2 linked regions of the Canis lupus familiaris genome follow. The protein of the gene in region 2 interacts with the protein of the main gene of each other region in a pairwise test. Links are inferred from orthologs where the notes say so. Each region holds a gene or a part of one and is shown on either strand. Other genes may lie near its edges.

Region 1 (7,761 bases), on a different chromosome or scaffold from region 2:
CCTCATCCACTTCCAGAAATGGGCACGACTTCCTCTCCTGCTCCAGGAAGCTCGGCTCTGCCCGCCCCTTCCCGGCCCGAGGGCCACCGCAGCCGCCCGCCTCCCCCCGGTTCCACCCCAGCCTCAGCCTCCCCGGAGCTTCCGGCCGGAGGGGAGGCCCCGGGGCCCAGCGATTTTGGTGTCCTGGGGCCGGCGACCCCGCGATCGAGGCCCAGCTGGGCCCGGGGCCGCCGTCCGGCCCTCTGCCCCTCCCCGGCCCCCGCCCCCGCCCCCGCCGCGCCCCTCCCCCGCCCGCACCCGGCGCTGCCCTGCCCCCAGCGCCAGGAAGGACGCCGCCTGGGTCCCGTGCCAGGCCTCTGAGTGTGCGGCCCCTCCCAGCCGGGCCAGGAATGCGGCTGGACGGCGGGGGCGGCGCAGACACCCGGCGCTCGGGCCAGCCCTATCGCACAAGCAGTCTGGCAGGTGGCCTCGGCCCGGGCCTGGGTTTCTTCTAGAAGGAAAAGCAGGACGGCCGGCCTGGCGGTCAAGCCACTAAGCCCGGTGGCTTTATTTCAGAGTCACCCTCCAAGGTGCCCTATCCCCTGCTCAAAGACAGATGTGAGATCCCGAGTGGATTTTTTTTTTTTTTTTAACTTGCTGGAGTCTCGTTATCTTTCCCCATTTTCCTGGAGAGCCTGCTCTCCGTGTTCTTTGGAGAGGCTCCATCCAGCTTCCACCTTTGGGCTTTTATTTCTGGCTCATTCTGAAAGCTCCCTTTTGCCCACCTCCACCCCCCACCCCCCACCCCTCGCCAGCTCCAAGACACACAGGTACACTCCAAGCAAGGAAGGACACGACTTCAAGGGGCCCAGGTTCCTCCATGGCCACCACCACCATTATGTACACACACAGGTGCATCAGGGAAACCTGGCTGGGTATGTTCTGGGGAGTTTTCTAGAGGGCCAGTTACCAGAGCTAATTGATCTGCTTATCAAACCAATAAAGCAGTAAAGCTCACGATTTGAAACCCACCTCCACACGTGATGACCTCTCAGAGCTTCTGGGCTGTAAAGTGAGGATAGTAATAATGCCCACCTTGTTCAGCTGATGGGAAGAGTTAACACACGTCCAGTGCTAAGCACTGTGCCAGGTACACACAGTCCATGCTCACTAAATGTTGGAGAACATCATGATACCCTTGCCTTAGCCCAGAGACAAAGCACACAGACTTGAAATTTCCCAGGACTGGTTTTTAATTTCCATAAAATGGTGCGGTCTCTTCCCACATCAGGGAAAGAGTATCCCAGGCTATAACCCCTGGGGATTCAGTCCAGTACAGGGCCCGGTCCAAATCACATTCCAGCCACCAGGCCCTGTGATCCCATCCCAAGGGCCAATCCCAGACTCCCCTCATTAGTCCTAGACAAGAGGACAGAGGTGAAGTTGCTCAGGACTGGATTCTGTCTCTCCAAAGGCCCTCTCTCTGCTCTAAGGAAGCCAGCTGTGTCTTTCCAAGGAGAGTTGGTCCAGCCACCAGGCTCAGTTTGGACACCAGACCACCATCCCAGTTGTGGGGATCAGCGCCCTGGACCCGGTGGCCGCTCCAGTGCCTGTGTGCCCACCAACACGTCCAGGAGGTAGTCCAGCTCAGCCTCATCCAGTTCCAGAGCCTCCTCCTTGCCAGGCCCATCCTCAGGGCCAGGTTTGAGGCCCTCGGAGGCTGGTGCCCAAAGTTCACTGTCATACATAGAGGTGTCGATGTCCTCAAACAGACCCTCAAGCTCATCGTCCAGCAGACAGCCAGTGGCTGGGCCCAGCAGGTCCAAGGCACCCAGGTTGGGTGGGGATCCTCCAGTGGGGCGGCCCGGTGGCCCCTCGTCCACCAAGGGCTGGGGGGCCTGGCTCAGGCCCTCGATATGGCTGAGGTCCTCCAGAAGGCTGGCCATGGAGGCTGAGAGGGCAGCGTCTGAGCTGGCCAGCAGATTGTCAGCCACACAAGGGGCCGCAGGCGGGCTGGGCACAGGTGGCAGGGTAGGTTCAGGTGCCATGGATGCCTGGATGCGCCGCAGCGTGTTCACTACCAGTACCAGGTGCCGCAGGTCCGGCTCACTCTGCCGCAGGCTGTGGTGGAGCTTGAGCACAGAAAGGTCCAAGAGGGAACTGGAGGCCACGGCCGGGGGGGCCTGTGCCACTGCTGGGAGGCTGGGATCCAGCCACCAGGAGTCCACTGCCAGGGCTTCCTTCTCCCGCTCCTCCTCCCGCTTGCGCTTCAGACCTTTGCTCAGCATCATCTGCAGGGAGGGAGGAGTCATTCAGTTATGGAAAGTCAATGTTAAGTTAAAAACCCTGTCTCTGATAACTTATGTCTGGTGTGATCTTGAGCAGGCCATTTAATTTCTTGAACCTGTGCTTTCTTAGGGAAACCTGAAGATATGAGTGATCATAGTATCTACCTCATGGAGCTGTTATATAGAGTAAATGTGGTAACGTACAAAAAAGCACTTACAACAGTGCCTAGTACATTGTAACGATTCTTATTAACAAATACTCTTAATAGCTATTATTATGTATTTCTTCAGTGAACCATGTGAAATGCCCAAAATTCAATCTTTTTAACTCATGAAAGCAGCTGTTTTACATAGTTCCATCCGACACTTACTGTCTACTACCCATCAGACAAATAAATAAATAAATACAGGAAATGTAGAGGTGTGCTAGGAAGATATTCAAAGGTTCTGGGGAGTGGTCACGGAAGGCTCCTCCGAGGTGACATTTTAGCTGACCCTTCCTCAAGCAGGAGGAGCCACCCACAGAAGGACCAGGGGAAAGCATTCCGGGAAGAGAGAACAACAAGGGCAAAGAAAGACCTGGAGGCTGGATGAGCATGAACTGAAAAAAAACAAAACAAAACAAAACAAAATAAAACACCAGTGTGGTCAGCGCAGAGTGACACGGAAGGGGACCGGGTTTGGAGAGCAAGCAGAGGCAAGGAGTTTGGATTTTACTGTGAGTGTCATTGAAGGATTTTGAGCAGGGAACACGGGTGGTGTTGTGAACTGATTAGATTTCCAGAAGATCCCCCCTCGGCTGCTTCGAGTTAGATGAGGGTGAAAGGAAGGGAAACGGGGAAGAGCGCGGTCCTGAGCTCCATTCAGAGGCCACCGCGCTCTGGGGCGGGTGATGGTGGGGGCCTGAAGTGGAAGGTGGAGGGCAGTGGACATGGAAAGAAGTTGGTTGCTTCCGGATTTCTTTGGGAGGCAGAGTAGACATGGCTCGCTGGGAAATCCTGACCGGCACCGGGGGGTCACCAAGAGAACTTTGAGGACCCACACTCTCCCCGAGATAGGGGCCCCTGGCGTTCTGGACGCCAGGCCCAACTTACTTTCTTGAGCCTGGAAGCTTGAAGGCTCCAATCCCCTTGCCCAACAGGACCTTAAAAGCGACTCCTCACACTTCTCAAAACGGTCCTCGCCTCCTTCCCCGAAGACCCGGGAGTCCAGAACCGCAGGAATTCAGGCGCCCCCCTCCCCGGACTCCGCCCCCCCGTCCCGGCGCCCCCTAGCGGCGCCAGAACGGCTTTCCCCGGGGATTCCGGCCCCTCGGACCCCGGGATCCTCGATACGGCCCCACGTCCTGGCTGTCGTTCCTGCCCGCAGCGCAGGGCCGTGCGGGCCGGGAACCCCGAGGGCTGTTCTGCTCTCTCGGCCTGTGCTCGCTTCCGGCAGGCAGTGGAGGCGGCTCCTCCCGAAGCGGCGGCGGCGGCGGGGGCGGGTGAGTCACGCAGCCGGAGCCAGAGAGCCGGCGCCTCCGCCCCCTTCCCGGGCTGCGGCGTGATTCACCCAGCCCGGCCGGGCGACACTCGGGGGCCCGCGCATCTCGATCCCGGGCAGCCCCGGCGCGCACCGGCCGGACCCGGGGATCGAACCTGCCAAACGACCCCCTCGCGGGTTTCCCTTCTCGCCTCGGCCCCCTTCACTTCATTTACATACCTAGCTCACCCGCTGCCAATCAGAACGAAGAGGGATCCACGCGCAGCCAATCAGGGAGCGGCGACGGCAGCATCGCTCGCTCGCTCTCCTTCAGCAGCCGGCGCCTGGGTCGGTAGACGCAGTTCTGACTCCGGCGCACGACTCCAGGCTCCTGACTCCCCTTAACTACCGCCCACTCCCGCGGTGGCCCCGCCCTCGGCCCGCGATTGGCCTTGGGCGGTGATGGGCGGGGCCTGGAGAAGGAAGGTTCGAAGGGAGGGGAGGGTGGCTTCAGGGCGCATGCCTGGCGACTGTGTAAGGAGCCGAGGCCAGGTGGGGTGGCTGTGTTCACTGCGGGGCAGTGGCTGGGAGGGGTTTCTTCCTTCTCAAGGTGTGAGCCCCTCACACCTGCCCGTACATTTGCCAAACCCAGCAATTGAGCAACTTACAGACCCAGTCCTAACAGAGGTCTGCACTCTAAGCCAGATAAGCATGGGTTCAAATTCTGACCACTTACTCAACGTGCGATCTAGGGAAAAAAAAATCCTTGGACCTCTCTGAGCCACACACAAAGTCTGTTAAATGGACAGCTTCTTGCCTACCTCTTGAGAGTCGGGAAAATTAAAATAAGGTTGTGTCTTTAAGAGCACCATAGCGCACTAAGCAAATGCTGAGCAGTTGGACTCAATAGTGGTTACAGGAGGGGGAGGGGGAGCCGGTGGGGATAGGAATAGAGCCACTGGAGTCACATCCTGGGCTCCATTCCCTAAGTAGCTGTGTGACCTTGGGCAAGTAATTTTAATCCCAAAGGTCTCAGTTTCCTCACCTTTTTAAAATGAGAGTATTTTGAGGATTAAAAAGAATAATCACACAGGGGCCCGAGGCAGGCTCAGTCGAGAGCATGTGACTCTTGACCTCTAAGTTATGAGTTCAAGGCCCCCGCGCTGGGGGCAGAGATTCTTTTTTTTTTTTTTTTTTTTAAGATTTTATTTATTTACTCATGAGAGACACAGGCAGAGGGAGAGGCAGGCTCCCTGGTGGGAGCCCAAACAAGATTCAATTCTAGATCCCAGGATCATGACCTGAGGCAAAGGCAGATAGATGCTCAACCGCTGACCCACCCAGGCGTCCCAGGTGTAGACATTTCATAAAAATAAGATCTAAAAGAAAAAAAGAGGGGCGTGTGGGTGGCTCAGGTCATGATCCTAGGGTTCTGGGATCAAGTCCCACATCTGGCTCCCTACTCAGCAGGGAGTCTGCTTCTCCATCTCCCTCTACCCCTCCCCCTTGCTCATGCTCTCTCTCAAATAAATAAAAAAAGAAAAAAATAATCCCACAAAGTGCTCAGAATGGTGCACAACATGTCCTTTTGTTGGTAGTAATAGCTGTTGTGGTTATAGCACAGGTGCTTAATTCAAGGCAGGACACCTGGGGTCGGGTATGGGTAGACAGGAAGTTAACGCTTGTCTGGTAAACTGACAAGGGGACTTAACTTCTCCAAGTAGCTCATTTGCTAACTCTTTTTGAATTGTGGGAAGAACTGTTGTGAATAGAGTTCCTGGCCAAAGTAAGCTCTAGAAAATGCTAACTAAACTAGTTGATTCAGGTAGCAATTATCAATGGATGTTCAAACCTTAGGGTGAAAGGTTAACCGGATCTTGGCAGGCTCCCACACATACCTCTACTAGGGTTACTTACAAACTGCAAAGGGGGAAATAGTCTTTTATGATGTGGAGATGTGATGCTCACCACCTTAACCATGCAATAAAACTCTACATCCACCATAATGGGACACCCTGACACTGGGTGCCACCTGACATGATGCATTAGGAAGTACATGACATTCCCTATGGAGTCTCCCTGTTAACTTTCACAAACTGAATCTCATGGAGCCTCTAGACCTAATCTTCAGCTTACAGGAAACAGAGAGGAACAAATTTTACAGGAACACAAATACAGAATGTGGGACATCTGCAAGCACAACTAGGCTGTTCCACCAAAAATTCAATTTTGAGAAAACAGAGAAAGGGACTGGTGGGGTTGGTGGTGGAGAATTTTCCAGAATGAAAGTTACTATATGATTTCTTTATTACAACCAAATAAGCATAGGAACTCTTACTAAATCCTGATTTGGGAAGTGGTGGGGGGGATAGCTACATGCCCCCCCCCATGTTTAATATATGCTTAAAATTTTTCATAATAAAAACAGAGTAAAATGCTAATTAGAACCAGGCCCCTGCCAGGCAAATTCACAGAATTTTCTCCCTAACCTATCTTCATGACCTGGGAAAAAAAGGTGGCTCTGAGTCTCCAAGTGGCTTGCTCCGGATCACATGCTGGAGAGCTCACAGGAGTCTCAAGAGCTTGATTAACATGTATTTATTGAGCATCTACTGTATTCTAGGCACCGTGGTAGACACTAGGGGTACAGTACTGGATAAGCCTCACACGGTCTCTCTGTTCATGGATCAGGAGAGGGGTAAGCAGAGGAAAGAAGTGTGAAAACAAAAACACTCATGGATGGAACACCTTCTGTGTGCCAGGCACTCTGGCAGGTATTGATGATAGGGCAGCAATATTATAGACAAAAATCCCTGATGTGAGGAGGTGGACCATACACTTTATAATAAAGAAATAATTTAGTATCTTGGAAGGTGACCAGTGAAAAGGAAAGGAATAAAGCAGAGCAGGAGAGGAAAGTGTGTGTGGTGTGCGGTGTCTGTAGATAGGGTGCTGGTGCTGGTGCTGGTAGAAAGTTCCCTGAGGAGGTGACATTGAGTAGACCCGGTGAAATGAGAGAGGTAGTAAAGCTCTGGAAGAAGAATCTTCCAGCCAGAGGGCAGGGCCAAAGCAAAGGCCGCGAAGCCCGAGCGGGCCGGGAGCCGGGCCAGTGTCCCCGGGCTGCAGGCTGCCTGGCGGGGTCGGAGAAGCTTTCAGGCCGTTTAGAGCCCTCGGCGGAACGTTAGGTTTTTATTCCGAGCGGGACGAGACCCTGCGAGATGAATGAGGAAGAAGAGAATTTCGGTCTCCGCTCAGTGCCTCGAAGAAAACAAAATAGGGGCGGAGACTAGGGAGGCCTGTGCCAGGGTGGTCCAGGGGAGCGTCCCTGAGGAGGCGACCCCGGAGCTGAGACCAGAGAGCGCAGAAGGAGCCAGGAATTCAAAGGGCTGGGGGAAGGGAAAGGGAGAGAGGTCAGGCCTTGGGAAATGAAACCAGAAGCCAGAAGCCAGCCGGCGTGCCCGGCAGGCCCGGGGAGGAGCCTCCGCCCGCGGGGAGGGGGAGGGGGAGGGGCGCGCCCGCCCCCGGCCGGCCGCCGCACCCGGCCTCTGGGGAGCCAGCAGGCGCCGGGCCGGCTCCCGCCGCCGCCGCCGCCCGCGGGGCATTCGGCCGCGCCGCCAGCTCCGGGGGGAGGGGCGAGTGGGCGGGGCCCGGCGCGGCCACGCCCCCGAGGCGGCCGCGCCCCCTCCCTCCTGCCGCCCCCGCCCCCTCCCTCGCCGCGGGCGGGAGGCGGGCGGTTTGGGGAGGGTGGACTCTGCCCTCAGACCCGGTCACTGTGCGGGCCAGGCCTCTCCACTGCTCTCAGTTCTTCAACCCGGCAAGAGCTGGGCCTCTCCGAGCCTCAGTTTATCTGGAAAGTGGGGGTGCTCCTTAAGCTGCCCCCCACTGTGCTGCTAGCAAGCTACACGATGCCTTTTCACTCGGTTATCTGTGGGGCAAAGAGGGCCTATTAAAAGGTGAGTGAGGGATCCCTGGGTGGCGCAGCGGTTTGGCGCCTGCCTTTGGCCCAGGGCGCGATCCTGGAGACCCGGGATCG
Region 2 (7,630 bases):
TGCTAATCTCATGCACTCTGAATTTTTTAAAATAAAATCACTAAATTTATCTCAAGTTACTTAATAGATTACATCCCAAAGATTGAAAAACAGTATAAAGTATCTTCAAAATCTAAAATACATATATTAAAAAGAGATTCAGCCATAAATGTAAAGCCATTAATATATACCTGCTATAAATATTTATTACAATCAGCAATTATTGATCAGTCTTGGGGAAACTGAAATTACTTGAATCCTCACACAAGACAGGAATTAGTAGTTAACACCATATTGGGAGGGTAAAGATAGCCTAAAACTAATACAGGCTACATGGAGACATATTGGGTGGAAAAAACAAGCCAAAATAAACTAAACACGCAGCATTGGAACAGAGCTGATACAGGTATCTTGTCTCAATCCTGACTGCCATACAGAAGGGAGTGTATTCCAAAGGGAAAGATGACCAGGGGCTCTTACTGCTATCTCAAGAAACAAACAGTATCATTGTGTCGACTTCTAATAAGCAATGTAATTCCATCCTAGGAAAACAAAGTCTAGAACATCAATACTGCTCTTATTTGAGGGAGGTAGAAAATGCCTTGACCCAGTTTCAGAAAGGAGAAGGGTGGGGCAGTGAGAAAAAAGAGGCAAGAAATTGAGAAACACCGTGGTCCCCCAGCTGGTCACCAATCTGCTTCTCCCTCCATATCTACCTCCGGCTGACCACAAATATAGATCCAAACAATGCTTCACTAAAGATTAAAAACTAAAACAAAAATTCTACTAATGGTAGGGAATTACCATGATCAAAAATTAAAGTAAAATTTAAAAAGCAGTTTAAATTTTGGTATAAAACAATAGTCCTAGGGGAAAGAAAAACCAAGTAACCTTTTATAGTCATATCTAGTATATTATGAAAGTTGATTAAATTCTAACAATAAAGTAGTAAATAACAGGTACTAGTGAAAGAAATTTGGAATGGAGAACTGTGAAGCCAGAATGAATTTTAGAAACTATCAGGTTCATCCTGGACCTTCCGTCTTCCTTTCCAGGATCTGCTGAGGTGTTCCATTCCCATAGCCCTCATTTTTATTCTAGTCACCTCCCCATTTCTCTCCAATTCTTTAGAGCCAAATTTATCAAGAGACTGGTCTCCACTTTCAACTCTCCAATCACTATCCAATCCCATCACTTCACCAAAACTTCTCTTGTAAAGGTTACCAAAAATCTTCATGTTACCAAATTCGATAGACACTTTGGAGCCCTAATCTTACTTGACCTTTGCAATGAGCAACTATTGTTTTTAATTGTCCCACATTCATTTCCCCTGCTTGAGTGATAAATCGGTGTTATGTTTGGGGATCTAAGCCTCTCCCATTGGATATGCCCTTGGTAAGATCATAGATTAAGGTATTCTTTTCTTCATTGGCCAACTGTTGCACACTTGACCCACATTGAACAAAACAGACACTTTTCCTCAGAATGTGAATTGTAAAAGAAGTAACAAAGGGTTGAAAACTGCTGCAGCAGCCCATTCATGCCAGTAATGATGCGAGCAGATTCCCCTGGGGCTGCTCGGATTCCTGTCCTTCATAAAGCCAGGGCCTTCATCATCTCTTTAATCCCAAGAGCTGCCCACACCTTTGTTATGAATTCCTCTTCTGAAGCAAACTAGTCACTTGTAACCAGAGCCATAATTGGTATTATCCCTTAGAAGTACTGCCTCCTTTCTCAAATACTTTACTTACACTCTCTGCTTCCAAGATACATGTTCATTTTACTCTCTCATCATTGCCATTCTTCTAGTTTCCTTTTTTTTTCTTCTTCTTCTAGTTTCCTTTGGTAATCCCTATACTCTTCCTGCACTCTGCCTCTAAATATTAATATTCCTCAGGATACTATTCAGGCTCTCTCTTCTTGCTACAATATCCTCCAAGTGTGAATTTGTATCTTTAAATGATACTGTCGCCAATTTTTTAAAGTTTTTATTTAAATTCCAATTAGTTAACATACAGTGTAATATTAGTTTCAGGTATATAACAGTTATTCATTTCTTCCATACAACACCTGGTGCTCACTACCAAAATTTTTATCTATAGCTCTAATACTCTGAGCTGCAGACCTGTATATACAATTGCTTACTTGACGTCTCTGCTTAACGTTTTAACTCGATATCTCAAATTTAATATGTCCAAAATGAATTCTCTCCCAACCCTATCTGCCATCACACCACGCCAGTCTCATTCACCACAACCCTCCACTCAAGCTGGGACCACCACTGACCCCATTTAGGAGTCATTTTTATTACTTTCTTTCCTTTGCTCCCAATATCCAGTCCAGCTGCAAGTCCTATTGAGACAGCAAATCCACCTATTTCTATCTCTACTGCCACCTCCCTTTTTCAGGCCAGCATCAACACTTGCTCTAAAACTACTGTTAGTGCTACCTAACTGGTCTCCCTGCTCTTGTCTCCCTCCACTCTATTCTCTTCACAGTAGTAAGGATTATCTTAAAATGTGATCTCACTCACCTGCTTGAAATTCTTTACTTGGCATCCCAATGCACCTAGAAAAAATCCAAACTCTTTATCCTAGCCTATAAGAACCTATGTGATCCTCTCCTCGTTCCCCAACCACACTCCAGAGTCACTCTCTGCTCACCAAGCTCTAGCCATCTTAGTTCCTTGAACAAATTAAGCTCTTTCTGATGTTAGAGATGTGCACATGTCATTTCCTCTACCTTGGAACACTGTCCCCTCTCTCCATTGGTTAGCTCTTTTTCACTCCTTTGGGCTCTAACTATCAACTCATTTAGAAAGGCTTTGTCTGCCTGACCACCTTACCCAAAGAATATTCCTAATACTTCCATCTTTAGTCTCTAACTCTCCTATTTCTAATTCCTTTAGTTTTATATAGTATTTGTTTTTTGTCTGGCTACCTCCTAAATTTTAAGTTCCATAAATAAGGGCAGGAACTAGTCTGTCTTGTTCATAACTTTACTTTCCCCTACCTAACACAGTGTCTGGCAAAGTACTATATGTAATTCATAAGGAAGTTACATCTCCAAGAGTCATTTCTGATACTGTGACACTCTAAGATTGTATTTACTATGAGATTAAAGGGCTTCCATATAAACTTCCCTGCAAGCACTTAGTAGGCACTAAGTATCCGTACAATGAATGAATGACATGCAAATAATACCAAAAATTTGTCTCTATTCCTGACCTTTCTTCTAAACTCCAGATTTCGGGATCCCTGGGTGGCGCAGCGGTTTGGCGCCTGCCTTTGACCCAGGGTGCGATCCTGGAGACCCGGGATCGAATCCCGCATGGGGCTTCCGGTGCATGGAGCCTGCTTCTCCCTCTGCCTGTGTCTCTGCCTCTCTCTCTCTCTGTGACTATCATAAATAAATAAATAAAAATTAAAAAATAAAAAATAAAAAAAATAAACTCCAGATTTCATTTCTAACTGCTTGGATATCCATCTCAAACCAACAATGTCCAAAATCCAGATTATCATCTCCACCACCAAACCTGTTCTTCCTATATTATCCACTTAAATTATTGCCCAATCTTCTTCCCACTCAGCTGCAAATTCTAGGTCTTTAACAATATCTCATCCTCCATATTTAAATAACCCCAGTAGATAGCTGAAATATATGTAACCAATAAAACCACTATTTAAAAAATAAATAAATAACCCCAGTAGTTCTGACTCCCTCAGATTTATTCCTCCTGTAATACTCTGTTTAGGGCTCATTATCTTTCAACTACGCTATTAAAATAGGCTTCTAAGGGGTCAAGCTGCCCTAAAAATTCCCTTTTCAATCTGCCTTTTTTTTTTTTTAATTTATTCATGAGAGACACAGAGAGAGAGAGGTAGAGATACAGGCAGAGGGAGAAGCAGGCTCCATCCAGGGAGCCCCATGTGGGACTCAATCCCGGGACTCCAGGATCACGCCCTGGGCCGAAGGCAGGCGCTAAACTGCTGACCACCCAGGCGTCCCTCAGTCCACCTTTTTATGCAGCCACTTGCGTTATCTTTCTAAAACACAGAAATGCTTATGTTACTCTACTCATTCAAAATTCAGGGCCTGAGAAAATTCCTAAGCCTGGCAGCATGGCATTTCAAATATTCTACAATGTATCCTCAACTACTGTTCCAGTTACAGCACTGTCCATATTCCTCAATTAACCCTTTACTCCAGCCGACAGGGACTGGCTTTTGAATGAACACACCAGCCTATATCAGTGCTCAAGTCTTTGCTTAGACTAGTTCTTCAACCAGTAATAAGTACTGCCAATCCAGTTGCGATGTTTTAAAATCCTTTCCAGTCTTTAAAATCCAACTCAAGTGCCGTCCTCCAGTAAGACTCTGATCCTTTCCCTCCAGTAAGAACAAATCTCTCTTTTCCTTGGTGTTCTCACAACACACTGTTTCACCTCTCTTTAGCAATTATTCCATTCTGTCTTGGTTGTTAATTGTCTACATGCATATTTTTTTCACTGGTTAAGGCCGCTGAATTTATTCATTCTAACTCTGCATTAACCAAGTATGATGCTTTGAACAAATTAAGCATTCAGGAAGTATCTGTTGAATAAATAGGTAAGTCTCTTCCCCTGGGGGGAGGGGGGAGCTAGAGATTAAGTAACTTGTCAAAAATTCAGACATTTACTTAGATGCAGAATTTTTAAAAATAAGAACCTAAGGGCAGCCCCAGTGGCCCAGCGGTTTAGCACCTGCCTTCAGTCCAGGGTCTGATCCTGGAGACCCGGGATCGAGTCCCACGTCGGGCTCCCTGCATGGAGCCTGCTTCTCCCTCTGCCTGTGTCTCTGCCTCTCTCTCTGTGTGTGTCTCTCATAAATAAATAAAATCTTTTAAAAAAAAAATAAGAAGAACCTAAATCTTCTGTTCAGTTGAGTTTACTCTGTCCACGCTAAGATCACCCAAAGTGGAATTTCTCACTCCCTAACAACAAAATGCCACTGACTTTATTTCAGAATGTTTCTTTCACTCTCATTGAAAGTATGTTGCATTGACCCGCGTGCCAAAGTGAAGAAATACAAATTCTTGAGTCCCAAGTTAGCAATATTTAAACTTCCGAATGGTGCCCCATATCCCACATGCGTGAGCAAGTGGGATAAACTTTAATCGACTAACTGCATTCTTGTCTCTGAAGAAACTTCAGAGGATAAATTTAACCTGCGAACGCATTCAGCCCACAGCCTCGCCTGGAGACGACAGGAGGAGAAGCGAGCAGCCAAGCCCCTCAGAGCCGGCAGCCTTCCTCCTAGACTCAGGAAGTAAGTGGACGTATGAAGGAAGAAGGTAGCTCCGGGCCGAAAGAACCAGGGCAGAGTCCCTTGGCATCCTCGTTCCCCCTCTGCAACGGCCTTAGCGTGAGGCCCCAAGGGCCGCGGGCAGGCCCGGCGGCGGGTGCAGTCCGGCAGCCCCCGCCCTGGGGACTCGCTGACTCCAGCTTTCTCGGGACCGTCTTGTTCCCAAGCCCCCGCCCTCAAAACCAAGCAAAGGAGCCGAAACCTCCGCCCCACTACGCCGCGAGGGGCAGGGCCGAAGCCGCAGGGCTTTAGACCGGCCGCTCCCGGGCCCGCCAGATCTGGGAGGGGTGCCCAAGGGGGGCGGCTTCCCTGTCCTCTCCGGGCGGTGGGGAGGAGGAGCGAATTCGGCCCCAGCTCCCGAGAGGCCGCTACCGGCTCCCTCCCTGCCGGGGACCACCTAGCCGCGCGGGTGTGGCCCGGCCCGGCCCGGCGCTCACCTTTCCGTCCCGGGCAGCCGGCCGGCCGTCAGGCGGTCCCGAATTCCGTCCACACACAGCGTCTTCCGGCTCCCGCCGGAAGCAGCAGGAGCGCGGGACAGGAAGTTTGGCCGGCCCCCAACGCTCACACCCACTCGCTCGCCCCGGGCCGGACGGCGGCCGCCCCGCGCCGGGGGCAGCCTGAGGCGGGCGAGGCGCGCGGGGACCCGGCTGTCTGAGCAGGGCTGGACCCCCGCCCCCGGGACTAGGGCTGCGGTCTCCGGCGTCCTAGTCATTCCAGGCCTCGGGGCCCCGAGGTCTGCGAAACCCGAAAAACGGGGTCAGTGCATTCCAGCCGTGACGTCGCCGCTTCCTCGCAGCGGCAGATGAGGTAGTTTTTCCTGTCAGCTGAGATCGGAACTAGTTACAATGGAGGCCAGCGAGAAGGAGAGCACTCCTTAAACACCGACCAGAGTTCTCACTGAAGAGGAACACTTCGAAGCTTCACTGCTTGAGAAGGGAACTTGCAGAATCTAGCTCAGCATTGCATTCGCACAGGGTAAGAGTTGAGACTCGAGTGTACGACTTTCCTTGTAACATGATCTCCCTAGAGTCTGGGTTCCCTGTGTTAGGATGCAAAGAGGTCTCGGATATCCACACTGGGGACTAAAACACTTGAGCTCCAGGCTGGATGCCACAACTAACTTGTTAGAGCTTTATGCGGTTGAGACTTTTGAAATTACTCATTTGTGAGTACCTGCTGTGTGCCAAAGGATGAGGACCTCAACTGAGGCAGTGGCAGTGATGGAAATTAAAGGCGTTCTCTAAGAAAGGTATTTATTTTCAAGGTTAAACACAAGCCTTAATGATAGGCATCTGAATGAGTGAGGGAGTAGTAGTTTGGGTGTGCAAAGGATGGTGATTTAAAAACAAAGTAGAAACACGTAAGAGGAAGGTAATTTCTTTTTGGATAAACAGTTTATCCCAGGTGTCAACAGGATATTTTACTTGGGAGGTCTTAAGCTCGAGTAAGAGGTCAGAAATAGAAATGTACTCTGCCTTTGGCCCAGGCCATGATCCAGGGTCCTGGGATGGAGTCCCGCATGAGGGTCCTGCGAGAAGCCTGCTTCTCACTCTGCCTCTCTGTTTCTCATGAATAAATAAAATCTTTAAATAAAAAAAAAGAAAAGAAAGAAAGGAAAGAAAGGAAAAAAAAAAGATTTGGGAGTTATCAACATATAAACCAGAGATGAAGTGCTCTCTGGAGATGAAATGGTCCAGGAAAGGTATATAAAACGAGAACACTGAAGTCAACCAGAGTGACTGATTTACTAACAATGTAAATCTACTTTCCACAAATGTCGCAGGCAAAAGTATAGAGCAGGGTGTAAACAGGTGACCATAAACCAACACAGCACCTAGGAAAATAAAATCAATTTTATTGTTGTAAAGGGCTGATTATAATTAATGAAACAGATCCTCTTATTTAAAGGCACATTAATTTTGAACGTTCATGTTTCAAACATTTGTTAATTTTCTTAGTCCTGTCATTTTCTAAAGCTGTCTTGATTGCCTAAATATTTCTAATCACCTGAAACTTCAAGTGATGTTTATATCTATTTGCCCTGGAAAATCTTTATGCTATTTGACAGTATATGCCTGCTAACTTAAAACAAACATGCTTTATCAATATATATTGAGTTTTTATGCTATAGAGGAAACTAGTTAGCAAAACACAGATCATCCTCTGTAGTAAACTAGTTTCTTCATCAACCTGACTGACCTGTTATTTATCTTCTCAACACAAAGTCTCTGCTCTCCTATCCTGAAAACTCCACAAGCTCTAAATTCCACCCCCCAAACTCTAACACGTGCCCTGCTATTAAATCCCTT

The links. The genes of interacting proteins can lie anywhere in the genome.
Region 1: the proteins of ZNF410 (region 2) and SERTAD1 interact in binary tests that used the Homo sapiens proteins (3 or more experiments, as listed by UniProt). The two-hybrid records come from large-scale screens. The link is inferred for Canis lupus familiaris from reciprocal best matches to the Homo sapiens genes ZNF410 and SERTAD1.

The regions. Positions count from the first base shown.
Region 1 is NC_049222.1:114,050,667-114,058,427, reverse strand, and holds SERTAD1 (SERTA domain-containing protein 1), read right to left. Parts: upstream 4,129-7,761; 5' UTR 3,969-4,128; intron 3,517-3,968; exon of another isoform or gene 3,362-3,516; intron 2,271-3,361; coding exon 1,557-2,270; 3' UTR 1,209-1,556; downstream 1-1,208. UniProt on the Homo sapiens protein: Acts at E2F-responsive promoters as coregulator to integrate signals provided by PHD- and/or bromodomain-containing transcription factors. Stimulates E2F1/TFDP1 transcriptional activity.
Region 2 is NC_049229.1:47,425,654-47,433,283, reverse strand, and holds the start of ZNF410 (zinc finger protein 410), read right to left. Parts: upstream 5,855-7,630; 5' UTR 5,759-5,854; intron 1-5,758. UniProt on the Homo sapiens protein: Transcription factor that binds to the sequence motif 5'-CATCCCATAATA-3', and is specifically required to silence expression of fetal hemoglobin in adult erythroid cells.